2 linked regions of the Caenorhabditis elegans genome follow. The protein of the gene in region 1 interacts with the protein of each later gene in a biochemical or structural test. Each region holds a gene or a part of one and is shown in the gene's direction. Other genes may lie near its edges.

The links.
Region 2: of the proteins of flp-15 (region 1) and npr-3, one has a biochemical effect on the other in vitro, tested with the Caenorhabditis elegans proteins (3 studies listed by BioGRID, with this or other methods).

Annotation. Positions count from the first base shown.
Region 1 is NC_003281.10:13,662,891-13,669,759, reverse strand, and holds flp-15 (FMRF-Like Peptide), read left to right. Parts: upstream 1-1,920; 5' UTR 1,921-1,956; coding exon 1,957-2,020; intron 2,021-5,703; coding exon 5,704-5,766; intron 5,767-6,075; coding exon 6,076-6,212; 3' UTR 6,213-6,360; downstream 6,361-6,869.
Region 2 is NC_003282.8:11,458,100-11,463,702, forward strand, and holds npr-3 (Neuropeptide receptor 3), read left to right. Parts: upstream 1-1,884; 5' UTR 1,885-1,892; coding exon 1,893-2,054; intron 2,055-2,524; coding exon 2,525-2,677; intron 2,678-2,796; coding exon 2,797-2,880; intron 2,881-3,438; coding exon 3,439-3,575; intron 3,576-3,709; coding exon 3,710-3,925; intron 3,926-4,586; coding exon 4,587-4,878; intron 4,879-4,923; coding exon 4,924-5,010; 3' UTR 5,011-5,100; downstream 5,101-5,603. Other genes in the region: C10C6.3 (PH-15 domain-containing protein), read right to left, coding at 5,510-5,603. UniProt on the Caenorhabditis elegans protein: G-protein coupled receptor for flp-15 neuropeptides. Receptor activation assays suggest binding to predicted flp-15 peptides, GGPQGPLRF-NH2 and RGPSGPLRF-NH2. Likely involved in Gi/Go-coupled signaling pathways.

The DNA of each region.
Region 1 (6,869 bases):
TTTCTGCGCCTTGCTGCTTCTTGCAGACCTTTGAGATGTCGGCTGGTATAAGTTCTTTTACAAGTGAGTTGAAAAATATTGCAATAACTAACTGAATGCAAAAAACTGGCTCAAAATGTTAGCTTACAACTTTTTTGTAAATCGACGCTGTAAAAAGTTATAGCTCCCAAACCTGTTGGCTAACGTTTTTCAGAAGTGTTTTGAAAAGTTTTCGACTACTAAAATGTACAACAATGTTGGCTAGTAATTTTCATCGGTTGCTATATAGGTTTACAAATACTTTTTCATTTTGCCAGTTGATAATTTTTCAAATAGCAATATCACGGAAGCTGTTGAATGTTGAATATTGAATCTGAATGTTGAAAATCGCCTATATTGCAGGTTTAATTTTGAAACCTACGAGGCGTCTGTTGTTACAACTTGTTACTAGGTTAGGATATTTTTCAATTATCAAAATTTTCAAACTACAATAAAAATATATCATTGAAAAAAAAATGAAGAAAACGGAATTTTAAACACCGAAAAAAAACACTCGCTGAATTAATTCGGCGGGCAGAATTTTAAATTTTTTCCCGAAATCTTGAATTCCGAAAATCTATCCAATATAACGCGGAAAATTTTAAACGGTGTCTTGAATTCTGCCAATATCTCAATTCTGTTTCAAAAAAAAAGCCATTGAGGATTGAGTTATTATCAAAATTTTGTAAAACTTTCAAATTTCGAAATATAATTTTGCTCAATTTTATTTAAGTTGATACTTAAAAATGTATTTAAAAAAAGGTTCCAAGTTTTTCCCCTCAACTTCTCATCTCAACAAACTACAGAAATACCATTTCCACTTTGTTAGTTCCGTTAATTGCATACATAAAAGTCAATTGTCTCTCTGCAATATTGTGCCGGTTTCGTTTGAAATATGACCGAATTATGGATACACACGGGGCTACAGTAACACGACACCATTTTCAAGTGACAACAACTGGTGTAATAATTACCAGGTGTAATTATTGCCGCTCTGAAGTTTTTGGGGATGCGGCGGTCCAATAAGGGGTACTGTACGCTAGGTCACGCCTGTTTCATGGTTCTGAAACTTTGAAGTTATCGTTTTTAATATAATCTGAAAGTTATGAACATAAATTTTTTTTAAAAACAAAGGCTATAGTTGGGTTTTTTTAAATTCGAAGTTCTCGTTAGAAAGGGGTTGTGAATTAGAGTGCCAATCAGGGGTGCGCGGGAATTCTACAAAATGAGACGGTTGGGAATGTTCCCCCGATATTATTCGTTAAAATTTAATGGTACAATATAGAAAATATTTGCATTACTTGAAAATAACTGTTATTTCAGTAAAAAATATTGGAAAAATCTTCAAAAATCGTCTGAATGTTGAAAATTGCCGAAAAATTGACGCCAGTTTTCCACATTCGGACAATTTTTGAACACTTTCTCGGTTGTTATAAGTCAAATAAAAATTAATAGTAGTTTACAGGAAGTGTTCCTAAAGCTGAAATAACCACTCAAAACTCGTTCTTTGCAAAATTTAGTATTTTGTGTCATATCTACTGAATTCAGTCTGCCCCGCTACTTCAAATTTTTATATTGTCAGTTGGTATCACCGGAATCCATTTTTTTTCAAATTTTTTGATATTATCTGCAAAATTAATCTGAAAAATATATAGAATAGTATTTTAAGCGTTGAACTTTTTTGGTCACTTATATATGTGCCAAACTCCTGAATTCGGAGCAAACTTCAAAAGTGGTGTCAGGTTTTGTTGAAAAGTGGTACCTTTTCCCCAATTTCAAAATTTTCATTTCAAAAAATATCAAGTTTCTGACTGCTCATCAATAACTACAGAGCTGCGCAAAGGGCGGAGCTCAGATCCCGCCCTATCTGCTCGTGTGCGCTTTCGCAAGAGCTTTCGGCTCATTTTTTGGAAGAAGGTCTCCCACATACACCTCGTCATGCAGTTCTCCACGCTTATTCGAGTTGCAGTTTTTGCGGTTTTGGCAATTGCTACACTTGCAGGTAAGAGTTGTTGGCTAGATTTGCAAACTGAAAATACGATACGGATTCTATACAATACGAAAAATCAAAAAGATTAGGTTTTTTACGGAGTTTTATACATGTTTGGGTGAGTTGACCAGCTTTAGTTATAACTGCAGGTTTGAGAAGCATAATGGCTGAATAAATAAGTTTTAAAAAATGTATTCTCCGAGTGACGAATTCAAAAACTTATGATACATATCCTCGTGATCCGATTTCCAGCAAACTTGATATTTAGTTTCAAAAGTTTACATCATTTCGACATTCTGACAGGCAAATTGGCGGTTTACTCAAAACAGAGCTCGCCATTTAAGTCAAGTTGAACTTTAGTCAGTCAGATTGTAGATAATAAATCAAAGAAGTATGGAAATTTTTTAGCAACACCCAAATGTAACGGGGGATTATAACAAAAAAATTAACTGTCAAGTTTTTACTTTGGTGAGACTGGAGCAAAAACAAGAAAAACATTTAAAACAAATTGATAATAAATCGACCAAAAAATTCACTATAACTTGCCAGATTTTTTAAAATTGCTTTACTACCCTCAAAATTGTCTGAAAACGCAGACTTCTTAAAAACTTCTCGAAAAAAAAGTTATGACGGCTCAAAAAATGGTCTAAAAACTGTTTTGAAATTACCGTCAAATTTTGGGTATAAAATTTAGTTATCATGCGTTATCAACTCGATTTAGTAAGCCAATAGACGAAGAAATTTGGTAAAAATGTTTAAAATCTTTTGGTCCATCGACTTTAAAATAACTAAATCGAGTTGAAAAGGCAAAATAATTACATATACTCATATACTCAAAATTTGGCGGTGATTTAAAACAATGTTATCAGCCGCTGCGACATTGACAATTCCGTCAAATTTCAAATTTTGACTAATATTAGGCCCTTTTTTGAGCCGTATAACTATTTTTTTGAGAAGTTTTCATGAAGTTTCATTATGAAATTCGGGTGTTGTCAGACAATTTTGAGTCTAATAAAGCAATAAAAAACATTTTTACAAGTTATTTGTTACCAGTTACATTGTAACTGGTAACAAATTTTTGACAGCTCTAAAATTATAAATATATAATTTCAAAATTTCGATGACATCACCCTACCGTAACCCTGTCAGTTTTGATCCATTCCTCCATCATTTCTTGTCATTTCCTAATTCCACTTTCTTTGTTCTTTTCCCATTTGTCATTCAACAATCCCCTCCCTTACTCCTCCGCTTGTGTAGTTTAGTAGTAAAATTTTTGGAAAAATTCTGACTTTACGGATCACTGGGCTCCGGAAGTGAAAAGGTAAGGGTTTAGAAGTCAGAAAACTGAAGTTTTTAGATTTGTAAGTGGAAAAGTGCAAAAGATCGTTAAAATGTTTAAATCGGTTGTAAACGATGATGAAATTGATTTTGAAAGTCGCAAAACATTTTCGACAGCTTGAAATAGTGCCGGAAGCTGATAGTTTTTCCAAAAGCGTCGAAATTTGCAAAAAAAAACATCAAAAACTGTTTAAAAGTTTCAAAAATTTGCCAAAAGTTCATGAAAAGCCGAAGAGCTAGCGAAAATTAGTCAAGAGTTTTAGGAATATTCCAAAAATTGCCAAATTTTTAAAGACATTATTTTAAAAGCTGCCGAATTTTTTTGTGAGGATTTGATGATTGATCAAGAGTTTGGGCAAATTTCAAAATTCTTATAATTTTTCAAAAATTGTTTTCATTTTTTATAGAATATCGGTAATTTTGAAAAGTATTATTGCCGAATTTCGTGCAACAACTATTTTTAAGACAAAATTCAAATTATTTGAGATTTACAAGTTGCCAAAGAACCGTAGATAAAAATTTTATAATTCCTATTTCAAAATCAAAATGTCTCTAGTCTAAGGTGTAAGGGATTAAAACTTCCCACTAAAACTTCCAAATTTGTCACCACCCACGCCCGTCTACATAGTAGTGTCTTCTTCTTCTTCTTGTTTTGTCATAATATGTACACATGTATCAACCATAAAGAGGAGCCATTTGCATCGATTTTCATTCATTTCCACACTCCAGGGTCTAACTTTGGTAAGGTTTTATTGGCGGTGCACGTCCACTGGGGGTCGTCAGGCGATTAGTTTGAAAGTTTGAAACCAATGAGCAACACATGGGGCTCGCTTTATTTTGGAAACCTTTAGGAATGATGATGGTTGTGTATTTGAAAATGGGCTGGGGATTTTAATTTTAACAATTTAAAACGCAAGCGGCTAATTTCAAAAGTTAACATTTAAAAGTTAATTATTTTCACTGATCACGAAATTCTTTTGACACAATTTGAGGTTACTGGACAAAATTTTTGCCTTTTGGTACTAAAATTATCAGACGTCGATGATTGACCAAAAATTAGTTTTTTAGACCACAGATTTCAATATTATCAGTATTTTGAAATGCGATTAATTTTCCCAAGAAAATTTAATTAACAACACGATTTTATATTGTTCAAATTTTTTTAGAATTGCAAGTGTAGCAATTAATTTTTTTTTAATTTTAAACTAATATGTCATTTGTTTATTCCAAAATTGAGTTCCAGACGCTGCGACAGCGAGAAGATGGCAAAAATGTTTGATTTTAGCAGAAAATGAGCCTTTTTTCCAGAACTTTGAACTCGTTATAACTTTTTTGAAAAATGTTTAAAACGTTTCATACGAAATTCGGTAGTTTTGGGTCATTTTGGATCTAAAAAACAAAGTCTCGGATTTCGGTACTCCACCGTTAAACATTTATACCGAAGCAAGATAAAATAGGCATAGCAGCAGACTACAAAATTAGAGAGAAAACATTAGAGAGAATTGCAAAAAAATTTCAGTTGACAATAGTTTGATAAACTATTGAAGTTGGTTAAGAATTATTTATACTTTCAAAAAAAAGTTCGTCACACAAACCCGTTACCTAAAAATTCCAAAAACTCAGCTAGTCAAACAAAACGAGCTTCCTTGTCTAATTTATTCTTTTGTTCTTTTCTCTCACTTTGATAATGAAAACTTGACAAATTCTTCGTTTTTTTTCGAGAGCATCACGTTTATGCAGATGAGGGGGTAGATGTTTGAGATGAGTGATAAAAGATTGAATATTTTATGAAAAAAAAAGTTGGGGGAGATTTTTCTTTTTTTGGGTGCTGAGGTCAAACGGGGCAACATTCAAAATTTTGAGATTCTTTCCCAAAAAAGTACTACTAAACTGCCGGAATTGTCGAAAGTTTACCAAAGCTTTTGTCAAAAATTGTCTGATTGATTTTCCAGCAAATTTTCATTTTTTCAATTGAAATTTTTAAACAGAGTGTAGAAATTTCAAAATTTTGGCACAAAATGCATCTCAAATTACCAGAAGACAAAACAAAAAAATTGTGCCAAAAGTTTCACACGGCGTCCATTCGAATTATTTATGGAAAAATGATATGTACGTGTGTCGGAAGTGGGTTTCATGTGAGAATTTTTGTGAATTTTAAACAAATATTTAGAAAGTGGAAAATGAGAAAAAAAAAACGTCACTTTATAAATAAACTTGAAAGGATTCAGAAGGAATTTGATATTTCCAAGATTGGAACAATGGGAATTAAAAACTAATAAGTAGTAATTAAAAGCTCAAACTATGACTTTCAAATGAACCAAAATTTCAAAAAAAAAACAAGCATTCTAAAATTGCAGATTACGACGACAATTCGGTCGGAACAATCCCAGTGGCTGTTGATTTGGACTACTTTTCCAATTGTAAGCTTTTGAATTGTTAACTTAAAAAATGAAAATCACAAAGTTTTAAAACATTTGTTTATTCAAAACTTTTCGATCTCTTAAGTTTCTAAAAAGATATCAGCATTTCAAAAAATGTTCAGAAATACATTTTATCGCTGAATTCAAGTGAGAATACCATTTTGAAAATTAATACTTTTAAAAACATTTATAACAAATAAGTTTTCTATCTATTTTCAGTTAAAACTTTTTTATATCTCAAACGGTTTGATTGCTTTTTAACCTACCAATTTTTTTATGTTTGGTGACCACTTTATGCTAAATTTTCAGACGTAAAGAAAGGCGGACCCCAGGGACCACTTCGATTCGGAAAACGACGTGGACCATCTGGACCTCTCCGTTTTGGAAAGCGATCATCATTCCACGTGGCACCTGCTGCTGAAGACGTCGCGTCGTGGTACCAGTAAATAATTTGGAGAGCGGTCATTTTCTTGCCAACAACTTTTTTCTCCCCGATTCCGTTCCCCCGTTTTTCCATCCCTCACCTGACTGTGCTGCATGTGTTTCTATGAAATAAATAAGATGATTGGTTAATAAAATATGTTTTCAAGTTAATTATATTATTATTATTATTATTATATCATTATCGATGAACTTATAACAATTTTCAGAAAATGTCTGTCAAATGGATGAAAGTTTTGATATTCTTTATTTCGAGTAGTCGGCAACCAGCAAATTTCTAACTTTGAAATCGTGTTAACTCTGTAAACAGGGTGCACGGCAATTGCTTATTGCCGAAAATTCACAAAACCGACAATTGCCAAAGTTGCCAATTGCCGGAGATTTTGAAACCCAGCAATTGCCGAAATTGCCGATTGCTGAAATTCAGAATCGCCGGAAATATAAATTCGATACTTTTTGTAGATTTACGAAACTCAACATGAATTTTAATGGACAATTTTCTCTTTTCAAGCTCGGCATGATTTAATCCTTGAATGAAAATCGGCAATTTCGGCAATTACCAAAATTTCCGATTACCGCGCACCCATGTCTGTAACTAATGAACTATTGATCATTGAACTTTGGAAACTCAGAAAATTGAAAATGGTCGATGTTTTATTTTC
Region 2 (5,603 bases), on another chromosome or scaffold:
CAACACTTGAAAATTGTCTGAAGTATATTTTCAATTGTTTATTTGGTAAATTTGTGTTTCCGATTTTCTGATAATTTATTAAACTTAAAATTTATAATTTATTGTTGAAGTGCCTTATATTAGTCTTGCTTTTTCGAAAAATATTTATTTAATTCACATTGTTTAAAAGTAAAGTAGCGCCAGTGGGGAAAGTGTTATAAACTACTCCTATGGTATCAAAATGGCCGATTAATAAAATACTAATAAAAATTTTCAAAAATATTTTTAAATGTTTTTATTTCTGTCAAAAAGTGACAATTACTCAGTTTTTGGCACTCATAAATTTGGAAGTCGACCAAAAAATGGTTTTCCTACATTTTTTATACTGTAATTTTGTTTTAATTATTTGTATCAAAACATTGTAGGGGTTGGAACATGCGACATTGCTTTGGATTTCCTTAGCATCTATAAATTCCGAAATAATGTTGCCTCTATTTTCGAAACCACCCTTCAAAAGGCCTTTTTCTTCATTGCCTATGCAAATTTGTGCTTCTGAAAATAACATAGGCTTGTACTCACTCTGAAAACATCATAAATTATAAAGATTCTTGAACTCTTACCGTACATCTTTTTTAAGTTTGTGTCTCTGCAGGAAATCTTTATTTTCCGATTCATAAAAGAGTACTGTAATTTTGATAAACTCCCTTTCAATGAAAAACTCCCATTTTTGTAGTAGTACTTTTTTATCATTTTCGACTTGTCACAGAAAAAGAAGTCAATTGAAGTGGAAGGAGCAAGAAGAAAAGGTCCGTTTGTGTAATTGAAACAACCTACTTGTCTCATATGTTATGCAACACGTGTTGTCGTTTTTGTCAATTATTAGTAAAGAAAATAAGTCGGTCGGAAAAATGGAAATTAGTTTGCACCCTGCCATTTTTTCCTTCTTCTTTTCCTCACTCCCCCACAGACTCCCGCCTCCCTTCCTCATTCACAATAATTTCTTCGTGTTTCCAGTAATAACCGCTAGGGGTGAACGAAGAAAAAGAAGAAACACACGTTTAAGCCTTGAAAGCTGAAGCTGCTTCAGGCTCCGCCTTTTAAAGGAAGGAAGCAGGAGGAGTTGCATTATGCATCAGGCTTGATCTTGTTCGGCGAAAATTTCTAGTTATGAGTCATTTTCACTTTCTTTTCGGAGAAGACATTGATTATAGATGTCACATTTTTCTAGACATCATTTTTATAATTTCTAGGTTCTATGTTTTTGTTTAGTTGGAGGATCCTTGTTTTTCCGTGTTCTTCAGATAATAGGCTATTTTTAAGAGTTTTCTTGAATTTTTAAGCTATATTATTTTTGAAAACTCACGACTTAAATATTGCGATCTCAGAATCCTTGTGTGCCTTCCGGAAATCGCATCAAAATTGAACATAATTTTTCATATTTAATACGTAACTGCTATTTCTAAGAGAGAAGGCTCGCTGACATTAATGTTTAAAATGGTGTATTTTCTTTCAAATCGGCTCCATGAATTTGTGAATTTTGTTGTCAGCTCTAACTAGGGTACTCTGTGAATTTAAGTGGAATCGAGTGTATGAAAACCTTGAAAATGTTTTCAAATTTATTAACAATACGGAGTGGGAGCTACAACGGTAGGGTGTCGTTGCGGAGTTCCCCGTGCTGAAAATTTTGAAATTTCCATTTTATGATGGTTTTTTTTCTTTTCAAAATTTTCTTCTGATCATATTAGTGACCCAATTTCCTTGTCAATCTCAATGAATCCTCATTAATATTCGTTTCCTGTTTTTTCTCCAATCTCTCATTTCACCCCAACGACTTGGCTATATATTTTTGTTCTCCTCTTCTGGAATTTTTGAAAATTTTAATTTAAAAATTTTAAATATTTACAGAAATCAAAATGGAGGGTGGTCGAAACTGTGTAATGACAGTACAACAGTGGCAACCTGAATACAATGATATGAACCAGATAAGAGCAATATTCTCGTTACTGTACCTTCTTGTTTGGGTTGGAGCTATTGTTGGCAACACTCTAGTACTTTATGTACTCACTTTTAATCAGGTATTTTTTGTTGAGAAAAATCGACTTTGTTCTCGAGTTTATATGAGAAAAAGTGTTATTTTGTTGAAAAACCTTGGTTATAATTTCTAAAAAAAAATTTTAAATTAAAATTTGTACCATTCCGGAATTTTTTTTTTGAAACAATCAGAATACTACATAGAATTTTTTTTTTCAAAAAATACGAGCGGTTCCCCCTTTTAAGAGGATTTTTGAGGACTTCAACTTTCAGTTTTGAAAGTTCTTAGGCTTCATTAAAATCTTCCGTATCTCTCTTCTCGCATTCAATTCAAAAAAATTGTTTTTGATACTACCATCATCTCAAATTTCCGGTATTTTATTCATCGAATTTCCTAGTGAATCAAGAATCTTTCATACATGATTGAAAGTACAATTACCGAACCACCTCCAGAATTCGTCATTGAGCTCAAAGTGCCCGAAAAGAGTTCATTAAGCTAATTTGCCAACTTCAGGTATCACTGTCAGTTAGGACGGTATTTGTTGGATGTCTAGCTGGTTCAGACCTTCTAATGTGCCTTTTCTCGTTGCCAATTACCGCGATTTCTATATTTTCAAGAGTTTGGGTATTTCCTGCTATATTTTGCAAGTTGATCGGAGTTTTCCAGGTGAGATTTGTATAAGATTTTCAGGATTTATAAATAAATGTCTAGACTCTGAAATACTGTGTATTAATCAGAATAACAGGAGCGAACAGAAATTTGAATTAAAATCAGAAACTTTTCAGGGCGGTACGATTTTTGTCTCATCATTCACATTAACAGTTATTGCTCTGGACAGATGTGTACTAATTCTACGTCCAAATCAGGAGGTAGGCTCTCCCCAAAAAACAGTCCAGAAGTTCTGCAGTAAACTTTTCTGAGCAGATAAAAATTGATGTGGTTTGGAGCCTTCTTTTTCTATGCCTCTTTTCATTATTTTTTCCATGTATTATTGTCGAGAATGTCTTCCAAGTAAAAATCTTCTATGTATTTCTTTGTGTGTTTAAGTACAATATTAATGGAAACTTGTTCTTCTTCAGAATATGATCTTCTGAAAGGCGGGAAAAATAATTAGACTGGTCATTTTATTTTGATCCTTGGACAATCAAGGACTTCAACTTTCCCGTTTTGTAGTCGTTTTTTCAATCGGGAAACTGTGTTAACCTACCTTCCTGTCTTCAAGGCGACCTACGCCTACCCGTTAAAAGCCTTATACCAGGCCGACCGGGGCGTAAGCTTGAAGAAAGGTGATTCTCTAACATGATAACATCCTTTTCATGGCGATCTAAATACCCTTGATACAATTTGATTTTAATTTAAAAATTGCGTTTAAAATAAAATTTTTAATTTAATAATCTATATAATTTGTCTAAATTTTTAAATTGCAGATAGTAAATTTCCCGAGAGCTGTCTTCATTGTTTTCTGCATTTGGCTTCTCGGATACTCTCTAGCACTTCCTGTAGGCATCTACAGCGACATTGCAGTATACGACGAAATTTGCGGCACATTCTGTGAAGAGAATTGGTGCGTCATTTGTCTCATTGATTTGACCAATTATCTTGCATTATTTCTTTTTCACTTCCCATAATTATCCCAATTATTTTCATATATGTTTTCTTGCTCTTCTGTTCTTTAAAAAACGTTAATCACATTTTCAGGCCTGATTTCAATCCGGATACTGGAAGATCGGGAATTCGAAGAGCTTATGGACTTTCTGTGTTGGTACTTCAATTTGGTATTCCTGCATTGATAAGTTCAATTTGTTACTGGATGATTAGTCGAGTGATGTCAGATCAATTAGCAAGAAGAAGAGGGCACAATATTCGACCGGAATCTGAAACAAAGCTGGTGAATCGAAAGACAAGAGCTAATCGGTTTGTTTTCCAAAACTTTCTTTTTTTTTTAAGAAAAAATTATAAATTTTAAAGTGAATCATTTGTCAGAAAATGGACAAAATTCCAAAACTTAAGAAATTTTTCCTTGAAAGATTTGTGCAATTCAGTTTCTCAAGAAAAAAAAGAGTTGATTCACTTCAAAAATTCCGTGTTACCATCCAAACAAATTTACTCAAAAATTTCCCAAAACCCTACTCGACCCAATTTTTTTAACGAAGTTTTCATAATTTTTAGATGATCTGATTTTAATTCGTTTGTAATATATTATTAATTCTGCATCAATTGAATACATTTTCAACATTCGAATCGGCACGTTTCTGCAATCCCCAAACCTGAATTATTAAGCTCTCTCTGTTATTTTTTGTTGCAAATTTTGTACCCCGTTGCAAAAGACACAAATAGTCATTTGTATTAGCATGTCAAACCTTGCATAATTTGACAAAAACCAGGAACTCCTAAGGGAAATAAAATACGAAGCAAAAAAAAATAAAACAAACAAAAGAGACTACATTCTTTTTTTGTATTCACTGCAGTATGCATGACTGATGATTATGATGGTGACTATGTATGATCATTTTTCCAAAAGAAACAAAATCTGGAGAATTCCAGGAATTTCTTCAAATTATTTTTCTAATTTCAGAATGATGATCGTAATGGTTGTTGGATTCGTTCTCGCGTGGATGCCATTCAATGCAGTCAATCTCTACCGTGACCTATTTGGAATTTCTAAATGGTATTCTACAGTCTTTGCGCTTTGCCACGTATGCGCAATGTGCTCCGCTGTGCTCAACCCAATCATCTATTCCTGGTTCAATCCTCAATTCCGACAAAGTATCACCACTTTGTTCAAGGGTACTGATGAAGCTAGATTGATCAAGAAGAAACCACAATCTACCAGTAAAATGGTTTCGTATCCGACTAATTTCTCCGAGGTTCGTTTGCTTAAAAAAATAAAGTATATGTAAATTCAACTTCAGATCCGAAAAGAAACAGAAATTGCATCGACAAAGACAAAAATCACAATTGCTGAAAACGACTATCGAGCTGGAGATCAACTTTTATAAACGAACTGATTAACAATTTTAGAAACTAATCTGTGATGATTCTACCGGGTTGTTAGATAAAAAGCTTTAATAAATTGTATTTGTTCTAAAAAATATTGTTTGACAAACAAGTAGTCTCTGAAAATTGTCATTTGCCAAAAAAACCTGTTAAAATGATTTCGACAAAATACAACTTTCAGCTTGTTTTTCACATTCTTGTTGACAATTTCAAAAAAAAGGAAAATTAATTCCGAATTAATCGGATTTTTTCTATAATTTCAAACTCTTCTAGATTAATATTTGATGCACTGGGTGCCCCCGTCACGCCTCGCTGGAAATGTCTAATGTAGATAACCGTAACCGGCAATATTATAATTTGTCCAAACGTTTTGCTGCACACCTCTAATGCCCATTTCCATTCCTAATTCAGTGAATACAACTTTTGTTACAAACTACCAAAGATTTATACTAGAAAAAGGCAAATACTCAAAAAAAGTTCGAAGCAATCTTCTTCTTCTTTCTACTTCTTCTTTTCGTGAAGCTCAATTTCCTCCGAATCCGTCGTCATCTTCTTCTTATCCTCATTTCCAGGTGTCAACGCATTACTTGGTGTT